Schizosaccharomyces pombe: one gene and its partners. The gene in region 4 interacts genetically with the main gene of each other region. Each region holds a gene or a part of one and is shown on either strand. Other genes may lie near its edges.

The links.
Region 1: mutations in ers1 (region 4) and mph1 together harm fitness more than expected from each alone (negative genetic interaction), as found in Schizosaccharomyces pombe (2 studies listed by BioGRID).
Region 2: mutations in ers1 (region 4) and rdp1 together harm fitness less than expected from each alone (positive genetic interaction), as found in Schizosaccharomyces pombe (2 studies listed by BioGRID).
Region 3: mutations in ers1 (region 4) and swd22 together harm fitness more than expected from each alone (negative genetic interaction), as found in Schizosaccharomyces pombe (2 studies listed by BioGRID).

The regions. Positions count from the first base shown.
Region 1 is NC_003423.3:371,086-378,580, forward strand, and holds mph1 (dual-specificity protein kinase Mph1), read left to right. Parts: upstream 1-2,708; 5' UTR 2,709-2,803; coding exon 2,804-4,840; 3' UTR 4,841-5,207; downstream 5,208-7,495. Other genes in the region: F-box protein Pof13, read left to right, coding at 1,274-2,464; srx1 (sulfiredoxin), read right to left, coding at 5,377-5,751. UniProt on the Schizosaccharomyces pombe protein: Involved in mitotic spindle assembly checkpoint signaling, a process that delays anaphase until chromosomes are bioriented on the spindle, and in the repair of incorrect mitotic kinetochore-spindle microtubule attachments.
Region 2 is NC_003424.3:1,322,694-1,331,411, reverse strand, and holds rdp1 (RNA-directed RNA polymerase (RDRC) Rdp1), read right to left. Parts: upstream 6,472-8,718; 5' UTR 6,407-6,471; exon of another isoform or gene 6,327-6,406; 5' UTR 6,160-6,326; coding exon 2,512-6,159; 3' UTR 2,351-2,511; downstream 1-2,350. Other genes in the region: phosphoribosylformylglycinamidine synthase Ade3, read left to right, coding at 1-2,150; exo8 (exocyst complex subunit Exo84), read left to right, coding at 7,076-7,113, 7,160-7,217, 7,272-7,413, 7,457-8,718.
Region 3 is NC_003424.3:1,685,770-1,692,215, reverse strand, and holds swd22 (Set1C-histone-H3K4 methyltransferase complex subunit Swd2), read right to left. Parts: upstream 1,951-6,446; 5' UTR 1,855-1,950; coding exon 829-1,854; 3' UTR 501-828; downstream 1-500. Other genes in the region: HOPS complex subunit Vps16, read right to left, coding at 1-55, 104-138, 179-209; SPOM_SPAC824.03C (uncharacterized protein), read left to right, coding at 2,571-3,314; bst1 (GPI inositol deacylase), read right to left, coding at 3,598-6,446.
Region 4 is NC_003421.2:797,825-806,158, reverse strand, and holds ers1 (RNA-silencing factor Ers1), read right to left. Parts: upstream 5,002-8,334; 5' UTR 4,963-5,001; coding exon 4,932-4,962; exon of another isoform or gene 4,896-4,931; coding exon 4,820-4,895; exon of another isoform or gene 4,781-4,819; coding exon 4,732-4,780; exon of another isoform or gene 4,693-4,731; coding exon 4,643-4,692; exon of another isoform or gene 4,620-4,642; intron 4,588-4,619; coding exon 4,173-4,587; intron 4,128-4,172; coding exon 2,848-4,127; intron 2,799-2,847; exon of another isoform or gene 2,798-2,798; coding exon 2,750-2,797; exon of another isoform or gene 2,713-2,749; coding exon 2,602-2,712; exon of another isoform or gene 2,560-2,601; coding exon 2,278-2,559; intron 2,228-2,277; coding exon 2,141-2,227; intron 2,100-2,140; coding exon 1,658-2,099; 3' UTR 1,616-1,657; downstream 1-1,615. Other genes in the region: rRNA processing protein Ipi1, read left to right, coding at 150-194, 238-310, 359-481, 532-1,532; protein Fta4, read right to left, coding at 5,541-6,100, 6,175-6,316; rps1501 (40S ribosomal protein uS19), read right to left, coding at 7,416-7,877; histone H3-H4 chaperone Spt2, read left to right, coding at 8,190-8,334. UniProt on the Schizosaccharomyces pombe protein: Involved in RNAi-dependent heterochromatin formation and centromeric silencing.

The DNA of each region.
Region 1 (7,495 bases), on a different chromosome or scaffold from region 4:
TTTATAATTTGCTTAATCAAGGTCAACATTTATCTGGATAAACAAATTCTTAGTTGACGAAAATGTTAAGAATTGAGGAATAAAAAAGAATAATAAACTTGGAATCTTTAAAAATTCTGCTCCGAGCACTTAGGCTTCCCTAACTTTAAAAATAATTCAGGATCATAACCAGTAGATGTTTACAGGCATAACCAACCCCAATTTAGAGATAAAAGGGCACTCTCATTAATTTTTTTATAGGAAATATTACTCCACTCATGTTGGAGAATATTCTTTACATATTCATATTCCAAGCGAACAGTCATTTTATAAGTCTTCAATACGGTTCGACTATCAGGCTCAAAGATTCGAGAATGACATTCCGAGATAAAGAGTTGACTAAAATGAAAAGCTAACGCTACGGGATACTCAAATTGCAAAGATTAGTTCGGTTTGAGTCTTTGCAATTATACTTCACAGACTCTTTGCCAATAAACTAATAGCACTAAGGTCATCAAGCAATATAGAAGAACTGTCAAAACATTTTGAGAAATGAATCTCTTTCGAACGAACATATTGCACGAATCAGCAGTGTCAGTCGTCTGAATATTTAGCGATACAACAACTTTGTCTGTTCAATCTCATGTGCCTGTATAGTCCCTTAAGCTTTTTTTTGTAGTAAAAAAAACTAAACTATTCTTTCTGTTTAATTCAGAAGCTCTCCAATGTCAAGAAACCCAATGCGCCTTTAAGTGTGAATAGCTACAGCAATCAGCAAGTCAAAGCAAAACGCATTCTTGTCTTTAAAAGAATTTATTTTAATCAATATAACAGTTGAGTTTGGGAATAATTCTAGAGAATGAAGATGTTGTTAGCAATCCTCTTTTCCTAAAACACCCTAACCTACTCCATTTCGTTGAAAAAATAAACCACTTCCCCAATTCTATGATTTTGGGATTTTTTTTGGGACTATATTAGAGAATTTCTTGTTTTATATATATCAACAGGAGCTCATTAACGTCAACACTTGAAAACAAAAAGTATTTGTCAATTATAATTATCACGAGGTTCATTATTGATTTTTCCCGAATAAGATTATCTCCAACCAAGAAAACGGAATCTTTGAATCTAAAAAAACACATTCTTTACGTTTCTTAACATTCCTCGGCATAAATTGTTCTCTTTTGAAAAAATCGTTAGCAAAAGAGTTGCTGAATCGCAAACAAGCTACGAAAATTGCATTATCTTAAAAGAAATTGTGTAAATAACAATTTATAAAGTATTTCGGGACTTTATGAGGCCGACACATTGGTCGAGTAATCAGTGCGAAGTGGATTTTACAGCTGAAGCTCTCACAACCCTTTCTTTGTCAAACCGGAATCATGAGGAAGATCCAATTCAACCTGTGTTAAAAAATTCCAATTTATTTCTCTTGAACAGAGACATATGGTCCTTGATCATTAATTATCTTGATGCATTCGATATATTACGCCTGATGCATTCAAGTAGGCAGTTTTACTATTGGCTTCGTAAATCAGCTGTCGATGAATGCTGTTTTAATAACAATTTTCTTAATTTACAACCTTATCAACGTACAGTTCCTGTTGCCAGTGATTTAGAATGGGCTACTGAAGTTGATCTCTACGGAAACCCACCAATTTTAAAACTCCAACTTCGCGATTCATTTGTCTGGTCAATGCTTGCCAAATTCCAGGGACTTCAGACCATTGCTTTAGACGGAACAGGTGTTACCATTTCTAGTGTAACGAATATCTTGCTGAACATTCCTACCGTTAAAACCTTGAGTATAAGATGGTGTGTTGGTGTTTGCTCTCTATCTCTCATTGAGTTTCTACAAAATTCTAAAAGCAGGACATTTTCATTGGAAAATCTATACGTCCTTGGTGTTAAAGGATTAGAATTACTAAAACCTGTTTTGCTTGATGGCTCTGAGGATGACACATTAACAAGCAATTGGCATAGTCGAGTAATTTTATTTCAAAATGCTTTAGACGCTTTACCAACTACTCATGGTAACCCAGTCGAATGCGATATTTCACGTTGCCCTTTGAATGCATGCAAAATTGCAGGTCAGGAAACTGAGCTTGCCGATCTTTTTTCTTTGCAAAAAGTCCCTGCTTGTATCTATTGCTTAAGGGAATGGAAGAAGCCGATTTGTCGTTATTGCATAGATTTAAGAAGTTGTTTGGTTTGCGATTCATTTGTCTGTCCTTCCTGCATATCGTTGGATTTTGATTTGCAAATACAAGCATTTGCTCGTCAACACCGTGTAATATCTACTTTAGGTGTTGTTTATCCTGAAAGAGAAGACTCTTGTTTCCATAAGATCAAGGCCGCCCAATGGCATCAGATCAGTCCTAGAAGTCTTTTGTTCCAATTCCAAGAGCAGAACCATATTCACCACAAAAAGATTCGCAGGAAGCTGTTAGCGGCTGGATGGAAATGGCCTCAATCACAGATATAGTAAGGGCAAGGCGACCTAGGTGAAAAAACTTTTTACTTTCACAACTCTTCTTTTTCTTTCATGACTAGTCTAATAATGATCTTATGCCATTCTTACTCAGAATTTTCGTTTTCATAACCATGCGAAACTCGTAAAATAATGATATACACTGAAGTAGCTAGCATTGCGTTAGAGGGTGATCTTTGTAGTAACATAACATTTTGAAATGTGCACACTAATGGTTGCTCTGCTGTTCGTCTTTTCTAGCTATTCTTATAACGAAGTAAAAATTTATTGATTAACGCTTAACAAACAGTTGGAAATTCGGTTTGGAATGCTCGTTTTTTAGTAACTGTGTTTATGTCTAAGCGCAATCCTCCTGTGACTAATATCGCGGACTTGGTGTCAGATTCTTCCTTAGATGAAGACTCGCTTTCTTTTCTCGAAGAGCTTCAGGATCCAGAATTATACTTCAAAAATGACACTTTCTCTTCCAAGAGTAGCCATTCTGATGGCACCGTTACTGGGGATACGTTGCGTAGGCAGTCAAGCGGTGCAACTGCTTTAGAGAGATTGGTCTCACATCCTCGTACTAAAAATTTTGATTTGCAAGGAAATGGAGGACAAAATTCTGCTTTGAAGGAAGTGAATACTCCAGCATATCAGTCAATGCACCATTTCGAGCATTTAATAACACCCTTGCCCTCTACTAATGCGTCTCACAGTGAAGTTTCACTCAGTGCAGGAGTGAATGATCTCAATTCTAATTCGGAGCATGATTTGTTACCTAAAAGTGTAAACAAAACCCCCGGTTCTTTATCAATTTCAAGACGACGAAGAATCGGCAGAATTGGATTAGGCCCTCCAAAGCGTGCTGAGTACACGTTGACGGATCCCTCGAAGACTTCCGATACCAAAAACTCTACAGAAGCAGATGAGGATATTGAAATGAAATCTCGAGAAGTATCACCAGCTTCCAACTCTGTTGCTGCAACAACTTTAAAACCTCTGCAGCTGCATAACACTCCTTTGCAAACATCCCAGGAGCATCCCAAACCTTCTTTTCATCCTTCTCAGTTTGAGAGCTCTTTTTCTCCTAGGGTGCAGTTTGATCACGATGTTGAAAGAAGAGCTAGTGAACTTCATTCTCGTCCAGTCACCGTTTTCCAAGAGCCTCAGCGTTCTGCTTCTCAACCATATGAATCTCATGCTCTTTCTCCAAAGGTGGCTCCGTTATTTGATAACAGTCAAGCTACTCCCATACCCAAGCGTCAGCAGGACGTTGTTACTGTTGCCAATCTACAATTTATCAAATTAGGAGTTGTTGGAAAGGGTGGAAGTAGTATGGTATATCGCATATTTTCCCCCGATAACAGTCGTTTATACGCTTTGAAAGAGGTGAACTTTATTAATGCAGACCAAACTACTATACAAGGATACAAGAACGAAATTGCATTATTAAGAAAGCTTTCAGGCAATGATCGCATAATTAAATTATATGCTGCCGAAGTTAATGATACTTTAGGGCAACTCAATATGGTGATGGAATGCGGAGAAACGGATTTAGCAAACCTTTTAATGAAAAACATGAAGAAACCCATTAATCTTAATTTCATCAGAATGTATTGGGAGCAAATGCTAGAGGCGGTCCAGGTAGTTCATGATCAAAATATAGTGCATTCGGATTTGAAGCCGGCCAATTTCCTGCTTGTAGAAGGGAATTTGAAGCTGATTGATTTTGGCATTGCCAAAGCAATTGGTAATGACACCACTAATATCCATCGTGATTCCCACATCGGTACTATTAATTATATGGCACCTGAAGCTTTGACAGACATGAATGCTCACACAAACTCTGGCGTGAAACTCGTAAAGTTGGGCAGGCCCAGCGACGTGTGGAGTTTGGGATGTATATTATATCAGATGGTGTATGGGAGGGCCCCGTTTGCTCATCTAAAAATGATCCAAGCTATAGCAGCTATCCCTAATGAACAATATCACATTCATTTCCCCGAAGTTGCCTTACCTGCTAATGCTGTCCAGGAGAAAGAGGGATCGTTGCCAGGTGTAACTGTCGGGCCTGATCTAATGGATGTTATGAAAAGATGCCTGGAAAGGGATCAACGGAAGAGACTTACAATACCGGAATTGCTGGTTCATCCCTTTTTAAACCCTTTGCCATCCTATTTGACACCTTTGGCCAAAAAGCCGTTACCTGTTTCTGGGCACACCAATAATGCTCATCCACTTAGACTCAGCACAGAAATCTCAGCTTCTCAATTATCAATGATTATAGAAAGGTCGGTGGAGTTGAGTAAGCACAAGCGATTAAATAAGGAACTTATTGATAGCATGGCTTATGATTGCGTTAGCAATTTACGAAAAATGCCAGAATAGAGGCACTAAATTTTCCGATTATTCTTAAAAAGGTTTTATCTTTTACAAAGTTTCCCAAACATCATACGAGTTTCTTAATGTTAACGACTTTTTTAGGGAGCTTAAAGGCTTTTTTTTTTTAATCTTTAATTTTTCGCTCTTTTAAAAGAAGGTAATTATGACCTTGATTAATGAACCACATATTATATGGCCCCTGATATCTATACTTTGATACTATGTAAATATAAAGAACGCTATACTCCCAAACGCTATAAGTTGTTTGTTTACGATATAATACCTTTTTGTGTTTGTTTTTTTTAGGTAAAGCAACCAAATGAATGATGCTTTTTTATAAGAAACTTTTTTAATATAATTGGGTTATATTAGACATTAAAAAAAAACCCCATAACTAATGTAAAACAAAAACCTTTAAAAATAATGTACCGCCGGTAGAGATGATTATTAACGCCATAAATGTTGGTGCAGGAAGGGAATAAAACAGGTTCAATGGAATATCGATAATCCTAAAAAAACTTGTGAAAAAATCTAAGTTAAATCTAATCACTATCCAAAAATTTATTGGCAGAAGCACCCAGATACAGGCGTAGAGTGTTAGGGGAGCAATTTACCAATTTGCAGCGAACCTTTTTGCGCCCTGCTTCATCGTGAGCACGTAGTCGATGACAGCCCCCAAAGGCAAAATAATAAGGCTTCCCACTCTTTTTAAACGTTAAAACATCAACAGGAGGAAGCTCACCAGCTTCCAAATCTTCTGAAGTCAAACCGCATGAAGCTGGAGGAGTTTTCCCTGTCATGGTTTCCATCATACTATTGACTTTGTTCATATCTAAAACAGGAGGTATAGGACGAATTAACTCAGACATATCAAGCTCAACAATGTTGTTATTTGAGCCAGTGTGAATCGAAGTCATGATGGTTAAAAATGAATGAAAGAAAGAATATAAAAAAGATAAAGTGAACAGAAATTTTTATAAATAGAACAGAAAATTATAAAAAAAGGCAAGTTAATAAGAATGGAAAAGTGGATATTGATATCGAGTATATTTACTCCTTGATCTGATATCGTTTCCTGTTGTACTAATGATCTGCCCCACAACCTATCTTATCCCGGTATGTATATAATAATTTACAAATATGACATCATTATCAAAGATGAATCGATACTTAAAATCTTATGTAAAAATTTGTCAGCATGTTAGCGAAACACGTTAAACCGACTAGGACAAAGCAACGTGGTTACGTTACGAGGTCTGGGTTTGTGTTCTTAGTAAGGTAGTTGGAGTAGCTTATTCATTAAATGTAGATGGCAATAAAACACTATTGCAAAGATGTCAAAGTGTAGAATGATGCTACCTAAATAGAATTTCAAGCACAAATACTTAGGTATAAATAACTTGGAGTCGACGGAGAACTGTAAATGCACGAGTACATTCAAAAATGTGTAAACAAAAGGTTCACTTTCTGAAAACGCTTTCTAAAATGTGACAGAGATAACCGACACAAGATCATTAAAACAATATGAGTATTGTTTTCGAATGGTGAAAGAAGCATTAGCTAGTTGAAGAGTGCAAATTTTGGTTAAGAAGAAATTCATTGGTAGAATGTAGGCTTGAACCGTTAGTCGTCAACAAAAGTGGAATTTTAAAGATTGCATCTGAAATCCTTAAATTTTAAGAAAATCCATCCTTAAGTCAGGATTAAGAAACCATAGTATATTATTTTGTTTGTATAAGTTCGGCTGCTATATTTGCTGAGGCCAAATTGATTCTTGGCCAACGTTTTATATCATAAGATTTGAAGGCAATGTAGCAAATTGAATATTAGATTATTTTAACACTTTAAAAATGTTAGGTAATGTAAGGAATAACATTTCAATTTAAAGAAGGACTGAGCGACAAATGAAAGGCTGTTCTTTTTTTTACAATTGTTGAGACAATTACAAGAACTATGGTACACATAAAAACTTTTAAAGAGTAGCAAGGTTTTAATACAATTCTTAAAGTTTTTTGAGCAAACAGATCACAATGATCCTTTCATATGTACATGCTTTAGAGAAGTAAGGTCAATACTTCAATCGGACTTCTCATCTACAATGAAAACGCGAATTTCATAATAAATACTAATCATCCATCCGTTCTCTCATATCCTTGGTATCCTTTATCCTTCCCATTAGTCAATCTCTAAAGCCATTAATCCTCATTTTTTTATAATGCCATCGCTCAATTCCCGCAAAACATCAAACCTTTTATGAACAGATACTATCATTTACTTACAATATGTTTTTAGCAACATAGCTTCCTATTAGCCTGATGTGAGATTAACTTCGATAAACTTTCAATATTAAAACTTGCATTCGATTTGAATCATCTTTACTGCCATAAAATAGAATTGCGATTTAGGATCAAGTTAGCACGACATCATGGTGTTTTCCAATATTCGCGACCTGTTCTCAACCACCACTCACCACTTCATTAATTCCAAGTTTTAGAATTCTTTAGCTTTTTGAAGTATTACTTGTGAATTCCTCAAGTGATAGTATTTATTGTTGAAATTGCTAAATATTTTTCAATTTCATCCTGCATTGTTTCCTTCTTCAAACATTATATCAGGGAGAAAATTGAAGTGTTTTTTTGCCTGGAAATCTAATCCAATTGC
Region 2 (8,718 bases), on a different chromosome or scaffold from region 4:
AAGTACTGTTTGGCAAGCCTCCCAAGATGTCTCGAGTAGCTGAAACTCAAACAATTCCCTTATCTAAATTTGATTCTTCTTTGAAGTCATATCTGGCGCCATCGAGTGACCCAATTCTTGATGCTGTGGAACGCGTATTAAGAATGCCTGCTGTTGCGTCTAAATCCTTCCTCATCACCATCGGAGATCGGAGTGTCACTGGTCTGATTGCTCGTGATCAAATGGTTGGTCCTTGGCAAGTACCTGTAGCCGACGTTGGCGTAACCGTCACGTCCTATGGAAAGGGAATTAACACTGGTGAAGCCCTCGCAATGGGTGAAAAGCCAATCAGTGCGTTAGTATCCGCTGCTGCCTCCGCTAGAATGGCTGTCGCTGAATGTATTATGAACCTTGTAGCAGCATCTATTCCTGCTTTAGATCGTATTCGTCTTAGCGCCAACTGGATGGCAGCTCCTTCGCATCCTGGAGAAGGTGCAAAACTTTATGAAGCAGTGCAAGCGATAGGCTTAGAACTGTGCCCATCACTTGGTATTAGCATTCCTGTGGGTAAAGATTCAATGTCCATGAGTATGAAATGGAATGAAGACGGTAGGGAGAAATCCGTAACTGCACCTCTTTCACTTATAATTACTGGCTTCTCTCCTGTTGATGATCTTTATTCCATTTGGACTCCGCAATTACGTAAAGTTGAGGACATCGGATCCACCTCATTGATTTTTATTGATTTAGCAAATGGAAAACAACGTTTAGGCGGTTCTATACTTGCTCAGTCCTATAAGCAGTTGGGTGATGAGGTGCCGGATCTTGATAATTTAGACACTTTCAAGAATTTCATTAACGTTATTACTCAACTGCATAAAACCAACTACATTCAGGCTTATCATGATAAGTCTGACGGAGGTTTGTTTGTTACTCTTAGTGAAATGGCTTTTGCCGGTCATGTTGGTATTGAATGTGAGTTAGATTCTTTGTCATCCGATAATATTGCGGCTTTGTTCAATGAAGAATTAGGCGCTGTAATTCAAGTTTGTGATCGTGACATTGCCAAGGTATTGGAGTTATTTGCTGCTAATGGTTTGAGTACTTGTGTTCATCGCATCGGTAAAGTACTTTCCGGCCAGGCTCAAACAATATCTTTTAGCCGTTCTGGTAAAATAATCTTCAAATCAACTCGCTCTAAATTACACGGAATTTGGCATGAAACCTCTTATAAAATGCAAGAAATTCGTGACAATCCTGAATGTGCACGACAGGAAATGGAAAATATTGCCGATAATAATGATCCTGGTTTAGGATACCACCTTACATTTGATCCAAATGTGTCAGTTACCGCTGATTTGGCTTTAACTAGTCGTCCCAAAGTAGCAATTCTTCGTGAACAAGGCGTAAATGGTTATTTGGAAATGGCATATGCTTTTTATGCATCCGGTTTTACTGCCGTGGATGTTCACATGACTGATATCCTCAGCGGTAGAGTTCATTTGGATGATTTTGTCGGTATTGCTGCTTGTGGTGGGTTTTCTTATGGTGATGTTTTAGGATCTGGCAATGGATGGGCTACTTCCATCCTTCTTCACGAAGATGCTCGTAATGAGTTTTACCGTTTCTTTAACGAGCGTAAAGACACATTTGGTTTGGGTATTTGTAATGGATGTCAACTGTTCAGTCGTCTGAAATCACTTATTCCAGGAGCTAAAAGCTGGCCTATGTTTACATTTAATGAGTCAGCGCAATACGAAGGTCGTGCAGTTATGTTAAAGATCGATGAAACAAGTGGTTCAAAATCCATTTTCACTGAAAGTATGGCTGGATCTAGTTTACCCGTGGTCGTTGCCCATGGAGAAGGTAGAGCTGTTTTCGATTCAGAGTCCGATTACGAACAATTTAAGAAGGAAGGTTTGGATTTGATATACTACGTTAACAACTACAACGAGCGTACTAGCCGTTATCCATTCAACCCTAATGGAAGCAGAGATGCTATAGCTGGTGTTCGCTCCCCTTGTGGTCGCTTTTTAGCTATGATGCCTCACCCTGAACGTGTAGTTTTGAAAGTTGCAAACAGTTATTACCCTCATTCGAAAGCTAGCGAGTGGGGCGTTCATGGTCCTTGGATCCGTCTTTTCCAATCTGCTAGAAAATGGGTTGGTTAAAGCATTTATCTTGCCCGGAGAAGCTGAATTGGAGTTCACATGCCGTAGTTTCTTTACAGTTTTGGTTTGTTTCGTGTTACAAAATTTTATAATTATTCTACTTAAATTAATGGTGAAAATTAGATTAAGCTTGGCAGATATAAAAATCGTTAATTATACATTATTACGATTAAATTGCTTTAACCATCGAGTATATGTGTAAAAATTATGACAACTCTTTTCCTTCAGCAGAAACATACAACAGTCTTGTTAAATGTTAACTCTAGCTACCTGTTTTGCTGTTCTATGTTCCATTGTCGATAATGAGTACAATTACTATTAGCCTTTTACGAGCAATTAAAGCTTCGAATGTATATTCGATTTAAAAATTATTAGCAGTAAGCATGGCTTTTCGTGAAAGCTGACAAAGACGACTAGAAAATAAATATGGAAATGAAATCAATACCTCAGTAGTGCCATTGCCAACAGATTTGACACGTTGATCGTATGTCACATCGTAAGTGGCAGCAACCGCACTGTTTATCCGTTCTTCATATTCCGAAGAATCAAATGCCGATTGATTTGATAAAGCGCATTTCTCTAAGTACTCTTGAGTGTATTTTTTCTTTAGAAGGTCGAACTGAAAGCTAACTTCCTCCCTAAGACCATATTCATTTACGGTTTTAGCTAAATCATCTTTAAAAAGGATAAAAGCTGTGTAAACTTCATATTCTGTGGAAATATCAAAACGAGCCATAATTGATCTCAGGTCATTATCATAGTGTTTCTTCACTTCTTCAGCTACATTCAGATATTCAGTTTTAAACCTTGGAAGTTTCATACAAGGATCATAAACAGTATTCATTATCGGATTATAAGTTGCAGGTCTGCCACTTTCTCTTTGGAATCGTGCAGCGTATCTGAAAATTTTGCCAACCGCGGTTTCGGAACGAAAAGAACGAGTTTTTGTTTTTTGCATGAAGTCAGGATATCGTTTGGGATGGTATTTGGCTTGCATTTTACAAGCTACTCCCGATTTAGCAAAATCTACAGCTTTTGAATGCATTTCTGCAAGTTCTAAACACACATTTCCAAATATCCCTTCCGGATTATTATCATGGTCATGGGCCCATGCCTTCCAAGCATTTGAAATTAGACCTAGCGAATCATATTTTATATAATTCACAAAAAATTCTTTTACCGAATCGATAAGTGGCTTTCCTTCCAAAAAATCTATAGACTTCTTGGGAGATGATTCAAGCAATGGGGGATAATTAACAATTTTAGGAAGAAGACGTTGATCCCATATAACTGTGTACTCATCCCCATCCAGATCACCACCAGAGCACATAGCAGGAATGCTTCGATCACCCGTTGTCGGAAACACTATCACATTTTTTAAATGCATAAGCTCATCGCATCTGACAGCTTTACAGACACGTACGTCACCTGGATGAAGCGAGGGATTCCTTGCAACAATACACAATCCAACTATAACCCTTGTTTTCAGCTTTCCAGTTGAATATGAACCAAAACTGGTAGAAGTGTCGGTAATTTGGATGAAAATTTCAGGTACTGACAAAACAGCATCATCATAATGACCCTTTAGTGTTCCAGTTTCATCAGCTACACCAAGTAAATAGGCACCCTTTGGAACACTAACTTTTTGTTTTTCCTTAATTAACCTAAGAACCCATTCATAATATAGATTTAATAAATTCTCGGTGAAAGCATCATCTCTTTCAAGGAAACCGGCCTGGATAAAATCAGCAATAATTAAAGTAGAGTGATATTCATCTACGTTGTCCCGTAACATTAAAATGGATTTTTGTTTGCTGTTTATCGATTCGTTCATTTTTGACAACTGACTTCTAGTCAATTCCAAAAATACGGTTTTTTCAACCCCGAGTCCTTCCAATAAGGTGATCAGTTGCATATTCAGATGGGCATTTGAAAATCGAGATATTTTAATAACTTCCAAGGTACTATGGAATGATTTAAATTTATCTTGACTACGGCGTGGAAACACAAGATTTCCTTGATGGTATTCAAGCTTAGTCGGAGGAGCTAAAGATAAAACGCCTTTATAACCACCCATACGAAATTGAAACGCAGAGGGAAACATATCATGATTTTTTACTTCCAAAGAAAGTCTTCGAATTACAGATAATGATGCCATTCCAACCCCATCAGTAAAGCAGTGGTTGTTACGAACAATATCATCCTGAAGGGATATGTCAACACAAAATCGATTAATTTCCTTTGTCGTTGAAAAGCATTGTCCCATCCTTGCTGCATACTTAGATACTGAATTGATTTCACTAAAGTCACCCATCCATTCCCTGATCTGTTTGGCATTTAGATCAGATCCCGAAGCAAAAAAGTAAGCACCATGCTCTCTTAATTGAGAATTTCCAAAAGCTAAAAATTCGTAAATTTGATTACCAACTTTAATTCCGTAGGTTAATAATTGTTGGATGCGAGAATACAATTTTTCATTTCTAAACCCATCAGAACCGCCTCGAATTTTTTGCTTATAGTATTCATCAGTTATTTGCACACGCATAAAACGGTTTGCAAAGTCCTTAAAATTTCTTATAACACGATTTCCTGCTTCTAATGAGTCTTCAACTATTCGAAGAGTAGTAGGTGTAACGTACAATTTTTTAATGTGAATAGAAGAAGCGGAAGATAAATCGTAAAAGACAAAAGACTTAGTAAAATCTAGCTCAGAAGGATTTATTAAAGCGGTTTTGGACGTTAGAATTAGTCTTAGGAATTTTTTTGCTCTCTCTTTCGATAATTTCTTTAAATTCGCCAATATAATGGGCAAATCAATTTCTGATAATAAGTTTTTAGAAAGGCAAGCCTGCAAAAGATAAGCAATCTCTTCCTCAATTTCTTTATCATTTATTAGACTACAGCGATGTTTGTAGTCTGGGACAAGATGGAAAACCACTTTATCAAGTTGACTTTTCAAATTGAATTTTTCCAAGTTGTGTAAAAGAAAGGCAATGTCATCTTTATCAGACTCATCCCTTATGGAAAAGCTAAGGACTAAAACATTGCAGCGTCCAATGGGGGCGTTATGGCAATTAAGTAGCTCTATAGGACTAGCAGTCGTTGGTGAAACATTGAAAGGTAGAATATCATAATGTCGTCTCCAAAGATGAGATGCAGTCCAGAAAGTTTGAACTCTGGATTCAGTTGCATTTTTAGATTTTCTGAAAATTAGTGGAGAAAATCTAAATCTAAATACGAGGGAAATATGATCATCGTAATAATCCGTCCCTACATCGCCTATTATGGAATGAAAATCGAAGTCCAGACGAAAGGTTTCGATCTGTTTGTCAAAAGAAGCATCAAAGAGAACACAGAGCTTTTTGAAATTAAAATATACAAGTAAGTTTGATTCAGTTACAGTTATTCCACAATCAACACCAAACAGTGGGACAATTCTTTCATCATAAACTTGCCCGAGCTTAAAGGAGGATAACGGGATTTTTACTAGCTGATCGCTTCTAAAACTATTCTTAGAGAAAACTTGTCGGCTGATGTGGGAACGATGTGCTGTTATGTCAATTTGAACAGCTAGATCAACACCTTTGACATTTATTTTCCCATTTGGTTCCCAGAATGGAACTTTGGGAGGAGGAGCAAATTGGACTATTGCAGTAGTACTTGTCTGTCCATTCAAAGGTTCATTAATCTTCATGAATTCTATTGTACCGTAATCATGAAGGGGTTCCCACAAGTTGTATAGTTTTCCTCCCTCATTTGAAAGCCAAGTAACTGGAATATCTTTTATGACAAGTGTAATCATATCCCCCAATCTCCAAGTACTACTTCTTTGGATTAGACAATTATCATTTCGTTTATTAGCCGAGTGCAACTGAGCTTCATTATTGTGAACGGAAGCCCATTTCTTTTGCTTTTTGTTTCTATATGGGACTCTAAGTCTTTCCCAGGGTGACTCACGAGAATAACGTTTTAATTTAACACTTATAAAGTCATTTAACGAAACTGCCATTGCTTTACATTGCCATACAAAATCTGGATTTAATTATAACCCTGACAACAAATCAATTTGGAACCTTTTGTAAAAATAAAACACTAAATCTCATAGCGCCTTTATGCAGTATCAGCAGCCTCGCTCTGCGAAGTGGTCTTTTATCATAGAAGATTCCTTTCAGCTGGCTATAAATTCGTTAGATACGAAAAACCTTCGATTTATATAAAAAAGATTATAATGTTCCTATTTATCCACTTATACATACATGTATATGTGTGCCTTTTTAATTTAATTGACCGTTATAGTATCAATATCTATGAATTGCTCTTGAAGGAAGTTTGTAGCACGGTGGAATAAAGTTAAGTGAAGGCTCCTTTACGTATAGGGAAGTAGAATCAAAATACTAAGAATACATATTCATCCTATATGAACCGGCAAGTTGAATTTCAGTTTTCAATCCAAAGCAGATATTGAGGTAGTTTTTTCACCAAGGAATAAAAAATTGTTAGGAAACTTCCATCAGTTAAACGACTGATATCATGCACCTTAATTCATGTTCAATATCGTGTTATAATATCTAGCTGATATTTACTATAAATTTATTTTTTAAGCATGGTATATAATTTGAGCTACGTAGCTTTACTCGTTTCAAAATTAAGTGCAGCCCTGATATTCCAAACCCCTCGTCAGCGCTTGATTTTACAAACACGTCCAACTACTTCGGCAAAGCAAACAACTTAATAGATTTTTAAAAATAGAGCAATTGCTCAAGGATAAATTAATTTATTATTCCTATTTGTAAATACCACAAATAGGTTCTTCATTCCCTTATTTTAATTGGTAAATTGTTAAACTTATTTCAAATGTGAAGCATTCAATTTAACATCCTTTAGATACATAATATTTATTCTTCTATCAGAAACTTGAAAAAAAAATGCCTGACAATCCATCTTCTTTTGAAGATGAATTCATGTACGCAGCTAGAGAATATCGGGTGTTTGAGCTAATTTTTTGTTAGGAAATCTAATCATTTAAGTGTTGCTTCGGAGTCCATACCAAATGAAAGCCAAAGACAGGTATGTACTGAAGTTAAATAAAAACAACCTATTACTAAAACTGCTTTTTAAAAGTCACCGACGCGATTACGAGTCGGTACCTCTAAAACAGATGATATTTATCGACAAAAACGGCAAACAAAACATATCATTTCACAAAATGAAGTTTTTTTACAGCCTAAATTTTTCGATAATCAAAATTTTGATGCTCAAAGCTGTATGTGTAATTATGTCTATTGGAAACTAATTTTGCAAAAAAGATTTAAACGATGTTTTACAGGACCTTAGTGAAGATGAATTTGTGTCTTTATACAATAAGCTTCTACGCATTCACATGGGCGTCCGTAAAAATTTGGAAAAGAATTTTTACAAAAATTTGAATGAATATGTATTTATATCAGGGGAGGTTGAGAGCATGACTTCAGATTTTAAAAAGTTTCAGTCTCTGTTGAAAACCCTGGAGACTGACATTGAAGGATTAAACTTGGTCGACCATACGCATGACCCTTCCGACGAATCAATAAAACAAACGGTACAGAGACTACGATCATCCATTGAAGGGCTAGATGAAGCATTCTGGGAAGCGCCTCAAAGACAGCTTATATGTGAGCAATACAATTGGATGTTAATCAATATTGACAATCAGAGACCTAAGCTTCTTGTCAATATGCTTCTGTTTAATGATAGACTGTTGGTTACTACTTCTCACATGAAAGAAGTTGATTTCCCTGCTAAGCAGCAGGTTTTGTATAATTGGAATTTAACCGAAATTTCTATTTCTTCAATTGAAACTTATGGACCAGCAGGTGCTGAAATGCTGCAGAAGGAGAAAGAGGTCTCTCTATACAAACTGTCAATTAACCATAACAATAAGACCACATTGTTGGCAGTACACAATAGTGAAGAAAGGGATTATATGGTTCGTCAGGCTCGCCATCACCAGCTTCAAGAACTAGAAAATTGGTCTAGAAAGCATGATGAAGATCTCGAATTTAGTCGTGAACTAGAATATCATACTAAATCGGAACAAGCCGATATGTGTTCGTATACATCCTTTCAAGTCCTTTGTAAAAATCTGGATACTCAGGACATCCTTCAGGCTTATGCCAAACAGAGAAACATGGTAAAGGAAATATCTATGCAATTTGATCATCTCGACATACAAATTAGCTTACAAGAGTTTACGGATGCTATTAGAAATTTGGCTTTGATACAAAATAAGCTAGAGCGTGGTAATCTAAACGAGTTGTTTGCCGAATTTTTTGCAGATAAACTTCACAATAGAAAGCGAAAGGTGACGGAAATTTTACTTCATCAACTTGGATTTAAAGGAATCAGTCTTTCCCACGGGAAAGAAATAGTTCGTTATTTACGCTCTTTAGGCCATGAAAAGGAGGGACAAGGTGTATTTATGAAGTCTAGGACCTTATTGATTAAAGAAAAGTGTCTGAATGTTCAATTGGAAAAAGACACTCCTAATTTCATCGATGCTTGCGCGTTCATAGTGTTTCGTTGTTTAGCG
Region 3 (6,446 bases), on a different chromosome or scaffold from region 4:
CAAACATAAAGTCAACAGGATCTATATATTCCCATTCCGCCTTTCCAATAGCTGACTAGTTACATTAGTTTTTAACTCTGTTACAAATTCCATTCTGACGTACCTTTTGGTAATAAGTGTCTTGTAAAAGTTCCCATTCTTTCGTAAATTAGTATAACTATGCAACTGAACGGCATACCATAGATGGGATACTTTATTGAAGGCTCCATTTCTATTTTATTTAGAAAATGCTAAAAAGGTGAAGCAACTTCTATAAATGTAGTTCAATGTATATTACACGTGAGTATTGTGACGAACAGTGGTATCCCCGATCACACTTAAAGCAACTGGTAAGAGTCATCTCACTATGTCAAGCACCTAAACAATTCGCTTTCCCGTTTACCTGGGATTTCTTTAATTTAATCTTTTTTTTTAATTACAGTGGATTGAAGGAATAAGAAAACAGATATATCTAGGAGTCATTTACATGCATACGTATGCGTTATACAATGTCAACATGGTATATGTCAAAAGATAGAATAGTATTAACATTATTTTGCTTATCGCAAAGTTTGATTTCTTGATATTCATATATCAATGAATTCTAGCGAATCCTTTAATAAAAAGGGTATTAGTAAAAATTCTAACATTGCATGAAGAAAATTAAGATCGGGAAATATGAAAAATCAATTAAAGATTTATGAGGATTTTATATTTTAAAAATTTTTAGTTCATTTGTTGAAATGACAGGTTCCTCAGGTTTACGTATAGGTAGTTGTTGAAGACATAAATAAGATTATATAATAATTAAAACCTGGGAGAAGATTACGGTATGCTTTAGCAGTATAATCATGATGTTAAGGCATATTTTTCGGGAAGCCAAAAAACGAGTTGGGACCCTGCAGTCAAAAGTTGATCATACCTAGGATTATACTTAACAAGACCTGGATTAATTATAGACTGAGAAACAATACGATGTTCAGGAGGTCTTGTTTTTCCTTTATGGTGAAAGGTATGTCTTAAATTCCATACATTCAGGGTACGGTCGTCAGCAGATCCTATGACAAAATTACCTTGAGGTACAAAAGTGGTTGAGCCGCCGTGAAAATTGTTGGAGAACGGCAATTCTTGGAAGTCCTCTAATCTAGATAAAACATCCCCGCTGAATGCATCAAGTATATAGTGAACATTAGCTCTAGTTGAGAGAAGTATACATTTTCCATCGTTGGAAAACTCCATATGTTTCCACTCAGGCATCATGGGGGGAAACGAAAACCTTGATAAGTAACGAGAGTCATCTATTGTGAATGTTGAAAACGGATCAGAACCATAATTCCGCACGTCGTAAAGAAAGATACGTGACAGTGAATGACATGCAACCGCAAAAACAAGACCTGTGGGATCATAAGCGGGAATTCCAAGGGATGGGAGATCTAAATTTCCAAGGCATCTCGAGGATTGATTCATTTTCCAAAGCTTCAAGGTTTTGTCGTTTGCCGTACTAACGAATTGGTCTTCAATAGGAGAAACCTCAATGGATGAAACGATGTCCGTGTGCCCACTGAAGTACGATATTCTTTTGTTGTCATAAATTGAAACATATTGAATATCCTTATTCCCCTTTGTGGTAGACAAAAGTAGATTATGATCGTGGTGTGTAAAACGAGCAACTTCTATGCCGGTTTCGAAACAAGTTATTGTATGGACTTGCTTCGGATCTAAAGCATCATATATTTGGACTGTGTCATCGGCAGAACATGTCGTTGCAACATACTCTCCAGAATCACTGTAATCAATGCTATTAATGAAGCTTCCTAATGAGTTATCACGAAACGACTGTGCAGGCTTTAAACTCGAAAGTATGCCGATATCCATTGAGAATTAAATAAAATATATAAATTCTCTTTGAATTTCCTTTTATATCCCCTTAAGGGCCTTTCTACTTTGCTAAGCCCTTGCTTGCATTTGTTTACTTGTGATTCCACAAAATTAGAGTAGTGCCAGACAACGTGTTTAACGAACTGTAGCACGTTTTAGTATACAGTTTTAAATTACAATTCGAAAACTTTTAAAAAGAATAGTGAAGTTGAAAATTAACAGGCTATTAATTTCTCCACCAAAAATACACTTGATTAATAAAAGAGTCTGAAGGCTTGATATTGTGGAAATGGAGGCGTGATGTTATCAAAACTTTCATATTATCAAATATAATTTAAGAGTAAATTTTTATTAAGGAAAACTTATAAACAAAGCTACCAAGGAAGCTGGATCATTCCATGAAATACAGCAGAACCAGTTTCAATTATTTTGTCGCTTGCTTGTAATCCTCAAAGCTCTGTATTTTTGTTATTTTCTGAATAAATTTTTCTTAGATATCGCGAATTTGCTTTTGCAAACCGTTAACAGATTAATTAAAATTACTAAGGAACGGCGTGATTCACGAACTTCTAAAATTCAGCAAAAATTATTTAAATAACTACTTTCGATCCTCAGTCGTTGTTATTCGAATTAGAAGGGAATGAATATTTGCATAATTCATTTCTTATCCTGAACTTTATACTGTTTAAGTCTTTCGCATTCTGTCTAGCGTGATGTGGATTTTAAAGTCAGGGTTCAATCGGTGTAGAAATTTTTCATTCATGAACAGAGGCCTTTTAGGCCTTAGAAACTTGTCTGTCACACACAACAATCTTGTTTCCTATTTAGAACATTTGAGTGTTCAGAAGCCTTCAACGTCGAATACTGTTGCCCAAGGAACCTTGTTTGAATACTTGGTACAGTATGTGCTAAAGCAACACAGTTTTCAGCTTGAAAGATGTGGTGGAAAGGGCGATGGTGGGGTGGATTTGGTGGGCCAATTTTCGATTAAAAATGTGTTGTTTGAGCCCACCAAAGTTGTCGTATCCTGCAAATCTAACAAGGGATCAATAGGGCCCAGATTTGTTAGAGAGCTTGAAGGCTCTTTGTCATCTTATCCAACAGATACTCTTGGGATTTTGGCTTGTTTGGGTTCTTTCACATCATCCTCACTGAAGACTTTGTCCATCAGCAACAGACCTCTTGCCTTATGCCGCATATATGTTGACGGATTTCATAGCTACATGTTTCAATTTGTTTGGAATCACCAAGCTTTGGCTATTTTTCCCGACCTGAGTGTGCGCCAGATTTACAAGCTTCCTTCGCCAACCGCTAATATTGTGCCTTTATCTCAGGAATTTTCCCAAGTGAATTATGTTTCCTTATTTGAACTATTACAGCCATTATCACGTACGGAAGAAAGGCCAGTACCTTTAGTGTTGGTCTACAAAAATCAAAAAATATCTCTTAACTGTTGATGACAGCTCATATATTAATTCATCTTTTTCTATTTCCATCATGCTAATGTGAGTTATTCAGTCTTTGATAAACCAATAAACTTTGTAAAGAGATATTATTCAAGGTAATAAATAGAAATAAAATTCAATGAACGAATGTCTACCAAATAAAAACGAAGTTCTATCTTGAAAATTAAAGTATGATAAGTGTTCAACAGTGTGAAAATAAAGGAAATAATGTAATATAAAAGAGAGAATAAAGAAAAAAGAGAAAAGAATTAAATAATATTGTTACAAGTTTCCATTAAGAAATAGATCGCAAAAATTTGTGCTTAATAAAATACTTCATTCTAGGAATGATCGGCCATTTCGAAATGTTTTGTACAAAAAAACCATTCTTGGCATACAAAAATAAAAGCCAAAAAAAGTATAACCCAACTACATTGTGAATGAGGTATGGTTTTTCAGCTCCATATATCAATGAATAGAAAGACAGAAGAAACAAAAAAACGTTATTTATGTAGTACTCCACGTCGTTCAAACGAGGTAGCATCTTTCCTGTTCGTAAAATTTCGGTGAGTAATATAAAAGGGATAATTGAGAAGAAATTATGATGTGTGGGGAAAGGAATAGACCAATGCATGGAAAGATTTCTAGCCCAAACAATGAGAACAGGAAAGTCCAAAGGAGCTAAGAGTAACATCAGTATTGTTATCGTGCAAGAGAAATTGTAGAAATCCCACAATTTTTTTCGGTAATGGCTTGACTTGGTGCAAAATCGGGCCAAGTGTAAAGCTTTAGCAGTAGTTACTGTCTGGGTACATAAAGCAACACCATAAACAAGTTGAAAGGGTACCACCGTCATTGCCATGAGCAACAATAACATGATGCCAATTATCCGAGCTTGCATATGCTTCTTTCCATATACGTAACAGAGAGAAGGGTTTGCATAATACATATTTCTCTGAGATAGAAAACTCGAAAGTTTTTTAAATTCTCCATGATCCAATTTTCTAGTATTTCTTGTTCTCAGACATTGAAAGGAGAACTTCACAGCTTGGCATACACCAGTAAAAGTCAAACCTTTATAACGCAAGTAGATACCATATATGAATGCTAATAAATGCATGACACAGAGTATAATAACACTGGCTGTTATAACTAAGCCAACAAACATTAAAGTTAACAGCGGGGCGAGGAACCAAAATTGAGCAGTCTGTAGTCCAAAAAGTAAATGATTTTGTTTCCAGAAAGATTTTGGAACCATCATTGCGAATATTTTCCAAGAGGCGACAGGGTCAGCACCATCGGCAACAATCAACTCTACTCTGCTAATTAAATATGAAAATGCAATTGACAAGATCGAAACTAAAAAAAGGAGTTTGATAAGTCCTTTGCGAATCATGACTTCAAGTGCAGCCGACATACTCAAGTATGCAGAACCGTAATGAAAATACCTAAACTGATTGTAAGCTGCCAAACTAATTACAACCACAGGAAAGGAAGCAAGTAATGTTCTGTAACGCATGAGCAGACGCCCAGCGCTCCTGTAATAACTTGGCTGTATTGAAACATAAACCGACTTATAGATAGCAGGATTCAAAAAGAATTCGAGAGTTAAAGATTTTTCTGATTCCTTACCAAAAAATTCCATAAATGGGGATATCCCGTGAACAGAAAGTTCTGTATTTGACATATTCACATGATATTTTGTTTCAAATGGAGATTCAATACTTTGCTTTAACATAGGGGTAAATTCTTTTTGAGGTACGGCACCAGGATAAAGTTCGTACGTTACTGAAATGGTGTAAGCCATAATTGAGCTCTGAATACCAGGGAACCTGAAGCGTTTCGAAATCGATCCTTTGGTGTCGAATTGAAATTTTCTTCCGCTTTTGAAGAGTTCAATTTGAGAACCTTTAATCGTTTTAGGATCCAACGAAACATTTGAAAATCCCCCAACAACAAACCCACTAGCGGGTGCTTTCGAATCATCAGACACTAAAATAAAATGATAATCATCCATTTTTTCCTTTGGCAATACGTAGTTATAAAAACTGTCACCACCATATGGACTGCTGGTGTATGCAGTTGAAGCAGGAAGCAAAGTAACCAATTCCCTAAGTAAATGGCAATTAGCGTTAATTACTTTATTGTTACCATTCTCTAATAAAGCAGATATAGTATTATCAATTTTTGGATCAAGGCGGCAAGCCAATACTTTAATATTGGATGACGAAAGATCAATAGGCTGATCAGTAAGCAATTCGAATCGGTCAATGCTTGAGGTAGGCTTCGGAATAGGAAAGATATGATGCCGAATATAAGAAACACCTAGTTGGTTCAAAAATAACAGTTGCCCTGGCATCTCGCTATAAACGTAAGTAAGATCAAGGTCCAAAGCTTTGTATTGAGCAATTGGTTTGGAAATTTGCGTAATGTCGTTTTGAAAAGAAGAACCCTGGATGTAGGCACGACTAAGCAACTCCTTCCTCAAATTAAGAGAAACGGTGCACTTTGATGTCCTTGCATCCATAATTGCAAAAATTCCCCGAATTAGTACCCGACGGAAATTCTCGCACCAAGCCATAGCTTGATGATCAATTTCTGCCCAAACGGAAGGGATACCAGAAGTAAAAACCATTAGACCGTTCGAGGGGGGCACAAAGGTAGAGATGGACGAATACTCCGGTACAACATGAGTATCTAAACCTCCCCCAGCTATGGAAACAAGCAAAACATCATCTAGTGAATTTTCTTCTGGACTCAACAGAAAGGACTGGGACCAAAAGTTTTTAATTGATTCATAAAATTCTACTAGATGCCTATCAAAAGGCAAAGGGGCCATTGCATGTGGCGTAGCTAAAGTAATTAGGGTATTAACAGAACCATCAACGTAGTTTTTCATCGTAAAAGTAGCTTGAGCAACAATCCCTCCCATAGAATGACCAAGTAATATAACGGACGTTGGGGGAGGAAAAGCTTCATTGTCATACTCCGAAGAGATTTTTCGATTTTGACGGTAAAGAGAGAGTATATATGGAATAGCATCATTGACATATTCAGCTTGGTCCAACAGCGTTTGGCCATGAAATGCTGAAAAATCCTCATTAAAATCCACCACAAAAAAATCAGGGACGAGTTTACCAGCAT
Region 4 (8,334 bases):
AACGACTTGGATTAACAAATCGAAAATTTTCTCATTTCATTACATTAGGCACTACTCACATTTTCTACATTTTGGGTACTCCACCAAACGTAACGTTGTCTGAAAGTACGAAGTTTAAATTGTACAATTAATTCCACAATATATTAAATATGGGTAAATCAAAGAAAGCAAAAGCTAAAAGAGCTGATTTTAATGTAAAATTGTTGTCGGAAATAGCTGTATTAACTGATTTTTTAGAAACAAAAACTCAAGGTGGGAAAATCAAAAAATGCACCAAATAATTTTACCGATACCTCATTCAGAACAAAAAGTATGAACAAAAGGAATTTTTATTCAAATAACTAACCTAAACATCTAGCGCTCGTACTTCCAACACAGGCAGCTTTAGAAAAGGAGGATTTCAATACAACAGCTAAGGATCAGGCGTACTTTGCACATCTTTTAGGAATGTTAAAGCATCATAATGCCAATCAACGGCAGGGTAAGAGAAATTTTCTATTAACTTATGCATCTTTTGCTAACATGTTAAAGAGACGTTGGAAAAGCTTACACAATATGTTTTATCTCATACAAGCATTTTGACGACGTCGACAGCGCTGCTGTTAAAGTTAACATCGCCTTTGATACTTGATGAATCCTCATCGGTACGAGATTGTCTATATCGATTTCTTGAAAAATTTATATATATAATGGGGCCAGAATTGCTGGAACCGAACATTGGAATGATATTTCTCTACACACACTCAGGGATGACTCATATTACTCCTTCAATACGGAATGACTCTACAAAGTTTCTCTCCTTACTCATCAATGCTTGTAAAGATCGGCTAAGTTCCTCTGCAATTTCGTTACAGTGGAAGAAAACATTAGAGTGCTTTACAAACCTTCTCGGGTGGAACTCAGAGAGTGCCTCTGTGAAGAGAACAACTAGCTTTTCAAAGAAGTCTTCCGCTAACATGATAAGACACCTAACTGTATGTAACGATTTTTTACAATTGGGTTTGAACCCTAAGTTACAAGCAAAAAATCAACAATCATCCGTTCATTTAAAGTATCCCTATTTGCAACAATGCATTGTAATACATCCGAAATACGAGGCGTTTAGATCTCCTTGTTCATTTGCATATTTGTCGCTATTCAATCCAAATAAACACGATCTTGTCGATAACCCTACTTTCCGTTGGCAGACAATATATCCTTTAATACCTGGAATTATAGAATTCATTAGAAACTCGTGGTCTGACGCTTGCCCAGTTGTTAAAGATGGATCCAACTCTCCGTCTGCTTCAAAAGTTTGTAGAACGGTTTTATCGATGCTTGGATTGTTTACTGAACAAGTTTTCAGTGTAGCTGATGAACCCAACAATCATAGGAAGAAAATATCTCAAGTTTTAAGAAAAATAAATAGGGACATAGAGTTGATAAATATCAATTATGGAACAGATTCCGAATGGAGAGGTGTATTGAAAGGATACGATAAATTGCGCGAGCGTGCAGTGGAATTGGATGCATTGGAGAACCCGGGTAAATGAAACTGACTCTATATGTTTCGTTTTAAATGGGTCCTCGCATTGTTTTAATTTAAGAATTTGGTTTGAGGGGTTATTTATGTTAAGTGGTATAAACAAAATTGATATTAACGCATAAATAAAATTAATTAAATAGTAGGGTGTATCCCCCCTAATTGATTCACCATAATAATTGCTGCAGTATACAAGTCTGAAACATTCTCAGTAATAGCCCCACCAATGAATTGTTTATTTGCAAGTTTCCACGGAGCCGTTTCTCCTGCGCGTATACTGTTATTATATTTGAACTGAGACTGCATGTACACACTTTGTATACTTAGACTGAAACAGGATTCTATAGGTTTGCTTTCCTTGGATCTGTCGAGACAAACGAAGGCTTCTTTGGAATTAATAGATGACGGGCTAATGTCATAGCTCTTAACTTTTGAACATTTTAATATAAATTCTAGAGAGTGAGGGAGTAAATTTTTGTTAAAAGGTACAGAGTTTTCATTAATTCTTGTGACCGAATGAATTATTACTCTGTCTTCCATATTTCCAAAGACTAACAGTAAATCCTTATTTACGTTTCTAGTCAACTGATTAGTCGAAGCTTTCAGAAATTGACATACCTAAATCTAATACTTTTGGAGAACTCTGTAAGTATCGCATCATTTAAAGGGACTTTCGTTTCGATACGTAGACGGGAATCCCATAAGCTATAAGTCATGATTAGTTGTTTTTTTCCTTAAAAACATTCATAACATACGCTAAAGGAAAATTGATAGTGCAAGTAGAAGATTGCTTAGAATCTTTATAAAACGCAAACTGATCTAACTTTGAAGAACAAATCATCGAAAAAAATACAGTGGAATCCTCTGTCTTGTTTCTCTTATCATCTGTAAATAATAAACTTCCCTTGAAAACAAAGTAATTCTTTGAATCTAATACTTCATGCTCTATTAAAGGATAAGTATACTCAGTACGTCCAAACAAAATTTTCACAGGAGTATTCAATAATGAATCGATATTCGAAACTGATTTGGTAATGCTTTATAAAAAGGTTAATATAACATATGAAGACTCAACCTACCAGTCTGCAAAATATGATCGGGGAAGATTCAAATCCTTATATATATTCATAAAACCATGTGAACAAGCCGACACATCTGATGAGATATTTGGATATAGTATGACGCCAAACCTGTTGGATTAATATTTATTCAAAAATAAACGCATACTCTAAATTCAATTCAATTTCACCTGAAAAGGATTGAAGTACATGCAAGCTAAACAAAGTGTTAGACTTATGTTTACATATTTAGTCAATACCACAGACCTTCTAGATAACCATCTGTGCAATGATTTCAAATTCATGTTGTCAATCTCTTCGTGATTAATGTATTTTTCAGAGCATACTATTTTTGGTTGAAATAAGTATAAGCTTCCCACACCGTAGCTTGATACCGGATTGGAAGACATTAGAATTGTATAATAGTTGTCACCAAGGTCGTCCATTTTCTCATCTTGTAAACGTAAAAACTTCATGTCAATTGAAGGAGTTAAGCTGCCAGATTTTGGAGTGGAACAATCTGATCCTTTGTCAAGCTCTAAACATTCTACACTTAATAGGTTTTTAGACTTTGAATCGTCGAAATCCAATTTTGCGCAATTTTGTCGCAAAGATTTATGAACATCATTAGCGTTAACTTCATTAAATTCATTTGAATTGACCAATTGAAAAGTCTGAGACTGTTTAGTTATTGCTTCGTCAACAGTATTACCATCCGAAGAAACAGAATATCTAGTAACCAGCTCTTCTTCAGGTTCCAATGGTAAAGTATTGCTCGTAGGTCGAGGAGGAAGCTGAAATTTGAACCGAGGAGGCTGCTTGCTATTAGACTTATTAATTGAATGCTCAATTGCAGTTGTTTTATCTTGGAAATGGGTCAAAGATGAAGTTCCTAAAATTTGCTTATCAATCGTGGGTAATTTATTCAACTTGTTCATAATCATTTCTTCAAAATTTGACGGATTATTCTGGTTAACAACAGGATCAACTGCTCTCCTTCCTTGATGAATTGAATTATCAGATAATTCGGTTGACGAAGAATGAAAATTTGACGGCTTTTGTAAGACTGGGATCGACAAATTGGATGAAGTTTTATTTAACTCGTAAAATCTGTGCGCTGGTTTCGGAGAAGAGAAGTTTAAAGAAACACCTGCAAATATTTTACATCCTATCAGCTTTATATCATCAGAAAATATTTTAAAATTATCATTACAGGGAGGGGTTTTGGAAGGATTTTTAGCAAAAACTGGTACCAACTCATAAGAATCACCATCATGTTTATTTCTCAATAATCTCATAGTATAAAAAGATCCAAGGATATTGAAAACGCTTTTGAAAATAGATGTCGTATGCATAGCTGTGTATAAAATCTCGTTTTCAAATTTTAATTTTAGAAATTTCAGTTGGCAGGGTGCAATCTTTCCTGCATAAACAAGAGTTTCTTCAGGATATTCATAGACTTTCTGGGACACTAAATTCTCTATATGCTTCATTTTCTCCAACATAGCATTAATGTCCTGATCGTTATTGGCTAATACAACTATTTTCTAGTCAAAAGTTAGGATGGTAGAAGTATCTTCACAAATACATACATTATCTTTTAAAGAAGCCTTGTATTTTGTGTTGGTAGCATGCGCAAACTCCTTGAGCAAATCATTATTGTCGGGAAGGTAAAATAATCGCTTGAAACTCCCGTTGTAAACAGTAGGCGAATAAATGACCTGTTTAAAATTTCCTTCCCATTCAAAAGGAGTAATGATTTTAGGTTTTATCAAGCAAGGAATATAAAAATCGGAGGATGTCGGTTTCTTGCCCACTTTAGACTTAACAATGTCCTCATTTTCTTTTATTTTCACATCTTCAATACCGTATCCTAAGTCTAAGTACCTTTGAAAATTCAATAAAGTAGTAAAATCATAATGCAATTGCCCGAATGGATGAATATCTAGGCGTGGTTTCTTGTAAACAGTTGATTCGCGCTTCAACTTTTGAACTATTTCCTCAAAACTAGCATGTTAATTAATATTTAAAATAATATTTAGGATGAACGCATGGAACTTACAGACTAAACGCTTCTCTTTTGTGTTCCTCGTACACTATGACTTTGAATTGCTGAATTATTAGCGTCAATAGCTAGGATATATAAAATACCTGAGATGAAGAAGAGTAAGAAATTTTTACTTTTCCATTATATTCAGAACTATATCATCAGTAATAGTCCATTTGCGCAAAACCATACTTTATACAATTTGTGAAGGAGGATATAAATTCAGCATTTAAAAGCAACGCTGTATCGATATAAAATTTAAAAAATCCTAATATTAGCAAAAGAATGATACACATTGACTTACCAGATTGATTGTTTGCAGATACTTTACCCATCACTCATTTCATCGAGCTTACAGATGGTACATGCTATATGCAGCTTCAGAATATAAGTGAAGTAATATGAATTCATTAGGAATATAAAGCTTTATGAATTATCAGAAGAAAAGAAAAATAATTAAATCTATAGTTCCTTGTATGTAGGTATTATAATTGTGATAAAATTAATGTTAACGTACTTACAATCGAGAGCTGAGTATTTGAATTATAAGCTGTAATGATTCATTAAAGGTTAGAAACACTGTAAACTAAAAAATAAAACTAAGACAATTGTTAAGAAACGTATTTTGTTTAGCGGACACTCATTTGTAAATAAAAATGTGTTGTCTTATCAACTAACTTAATGCCTCCCAAAGCTAGGAAATCATTAACCAATAAATATCTGAACGTAAAGTAGAAGCTTCAAAGTTATTTCTATAGCCCCAACATTTCTAGTAGAGTCAATAAAATCCTTAAACCAGGAAATAAGGCACCCTCTCCTCCAATTAAGTATTAGTCATTATTTCAAAAGCAGATGATGAGATGCAATAGGAGTTCATGAACATCATTCCCTCTCAATTTCTACGAAAAGTTTTTTAATCATCAGAAATAGTTTTTTCGAATAATTGGCTTCTGATTTCGTCCTCCAATGACGCTTCCTGATTGTCATTGTTTAAAGAAGGAAATGAAACCCCTCTGAGAAGAGAATTAATTTTAGCTACCATGGTGTTCGTACTGTTGAGGGTTGATATCAATTCAGGGTTTTTCTTCCACATATTCGTATGTATTGAAGAAGGCCCATCTTCAAAAGGTTCCAACATTTTTTCGATTTGCTCAAGTTCAGAGCGCTCCTGTTCTAATTCTGACAACGTTGTTAATAGACCAAGTAACTCTCCCGTAAGACGATTGAACTTCTCTTGCTCCTCATCCTTTTCGACAGGTCGGGATTCTTTTTGAAAAGGCCATGGATGGGGAAGTGATTTTACACTGTCTAAATTGCTTAAATCAATTTCTCCATAAAATAATGGATTTAAAAAGGTAATGTCCTCAATAGCGCTATTTTGTTCATATAACTTTCGTATTTGAGCGGCAACATGCTGAGTTGCTTGATGTGAATAATTTAGCTTTGCATGCTTTTGGATACGAAGTTGCAATCCTGTTTTGGTTAATAATAATATTTTGAACTTTTTATTTGTAGGAGAAATCCAGACAAAAGCATGGAACACGTACGTTGGAATACAGTTTCAACGACTGATTCTGAAAGCTGACCGGATTTTAAAGGAAGTTTCCAATCCTTTGGAGGGCGCATAGGTCGGTTCAACAGCCGTATCTGTCGTTCCATGAATGATTTTTTATGTTCGTAAATATCCATTTAGGAAGTAAATTTGATTTAAATCAAGATTATCAGGATTAAAATAAAAACAGTTGAATACTGATCGAAAAACAAGTCAATATGGTATTGAAATTAACAAAGCAAGTTCACGCAAAGGCAACAAACTAACAGCGACTTTTGAGCATATAGACGTCTTCAGTGTAAGCACTTCCAAAATTAATTACTTAACAAAAAAAGACCAAATCAATCAGACCTTGGCTGATGGTTGATTAATGACAAATTTTGAGAAAGTTACAGGAGACTAAAGAAGTCGAAAAGTCGAGCGACTAAATAGAATACTTTGAATGATGTTAAAATGAAGATTTTATGTACATAATCATTAAGCTAGCTCCTTAGAAAGGACTCGTCTAATGCGAGTTAAAAAATTAGTGCATATATCAGTTCTAAGATATAGCGAAGAGAGTAATATTCTATGAAGGATGAACCCTAGAGTATAGTGTATTGTGAAGTTGACCTAGGATATACCATTAATATTGAATAGCATTAAACATATTTATTTATCCTTAAAACTAATAGCTTACAAAAAAATTCAGATTTACAAACAAGCACCCAGAATTGGTACATATACTCTACGGTGGTAAAACGTAAACGAAAGCTTGGTTTTTACAATGTAGTACCATTTAGGTTATTTCGAGCTAGTTGAGAAACAAAAACAAATGATGGTTTCCAAAATATAATGATAAAATATTCTCATAGGTTCACTAGCTAGATGGCAAGCCAAGAGTGGGACAAGTAGCTTTTGTAAAACATCATGAAGCTAGCAATCTAATCGTAGCTGTCAAATTGCAGATTCAAGTGTCAAGTAAATCAATATGTCCGGCTCTGTGTTACACTTCCATGCTCCTTCAACTATACACACTCGTTACTTTACAAATACAAAAATTATCTGTCTGTATTTCTCTTTACATAATTCATGTTTACGAACACGCAGCTCTACAACTGTTACTTTCACTACCAAATTTAGATATCTTGAAAAAACCTAGGTTTTTATGCGAATGTACAACGTTAGTCCAAACAAAGAAATTATTGAATAAGATAGAAGTGAAACCATCCATTGAACCCGCCTTTTTGCATCTCTTTACTTAAGAGGAATGAAACGAGAACTATGAGTGGCACCAATACCGGGACGACCGTGCTTAGTAGGCTTGTAAGTGATAGAGAACTCACCCAAGTAGTGACCAATCATTTCAGGACGAATCTCAACTTGGTTGAAGAGCTTACCGTTGTAAATACCAACGACAGAACCGACCATCTCGGGAAGGATGATCATGTTACGCAAATGGGTCTTAACAGTGGCGGGCTTCTCATTAAGAGGAGCTTCAGTCTTAGCCTTGCGGAGCTTACGGATGAAGCGAGAGGCATTGGGTCCAAGACCACGAAGCATACGACGACGAGCACGGGCATGGAACAAATCAACCAATTGCTCAGCAGAGAGATCCAAAAGCTGCTCAAGCTCAACACCACGGTAAGCAAAAGTACGGAAACTTCTCTTCTTTCTCAGTTCGGCAACGCGAACGGCTTCATCATGTTCTTCGGCCATGCTGTGTATTGGATTTTATGCCGTAGTTGGTGATGGTCAAACGTATCTTTTCTAGTGTTTCCTGCTACAAGTTTTGGTCACTATAAACAGTCACGTAAACCCTACCCTATAAAATTTCTTAGAGTTAAATAAAGGGGTACTGTATATATCGTTACGTTGCACAATCGCTTAGCTTTTGGGTATCAAACTTATGTGTGCGACTTACCAGAAACCATCATCGTATTGCATGTAGGAGGGTAATCATGTTTTTGTACTGATTATTTATGGTTTTTTGAGGAGGATTATTAAGAATTGATTGTATCTCATAATAAAATGGCAGGAACCCCATCATTTCAAAAATTAATGGCTTTAGCAGATAGCCAATCTGCCCAAGCCGCAGTTCAAATTGAACAATTGAGAAAGGCGCAGATCCGAGAGAAAGCACGGGAAATTACTGAAGAACGCAACAGGCAAAGGA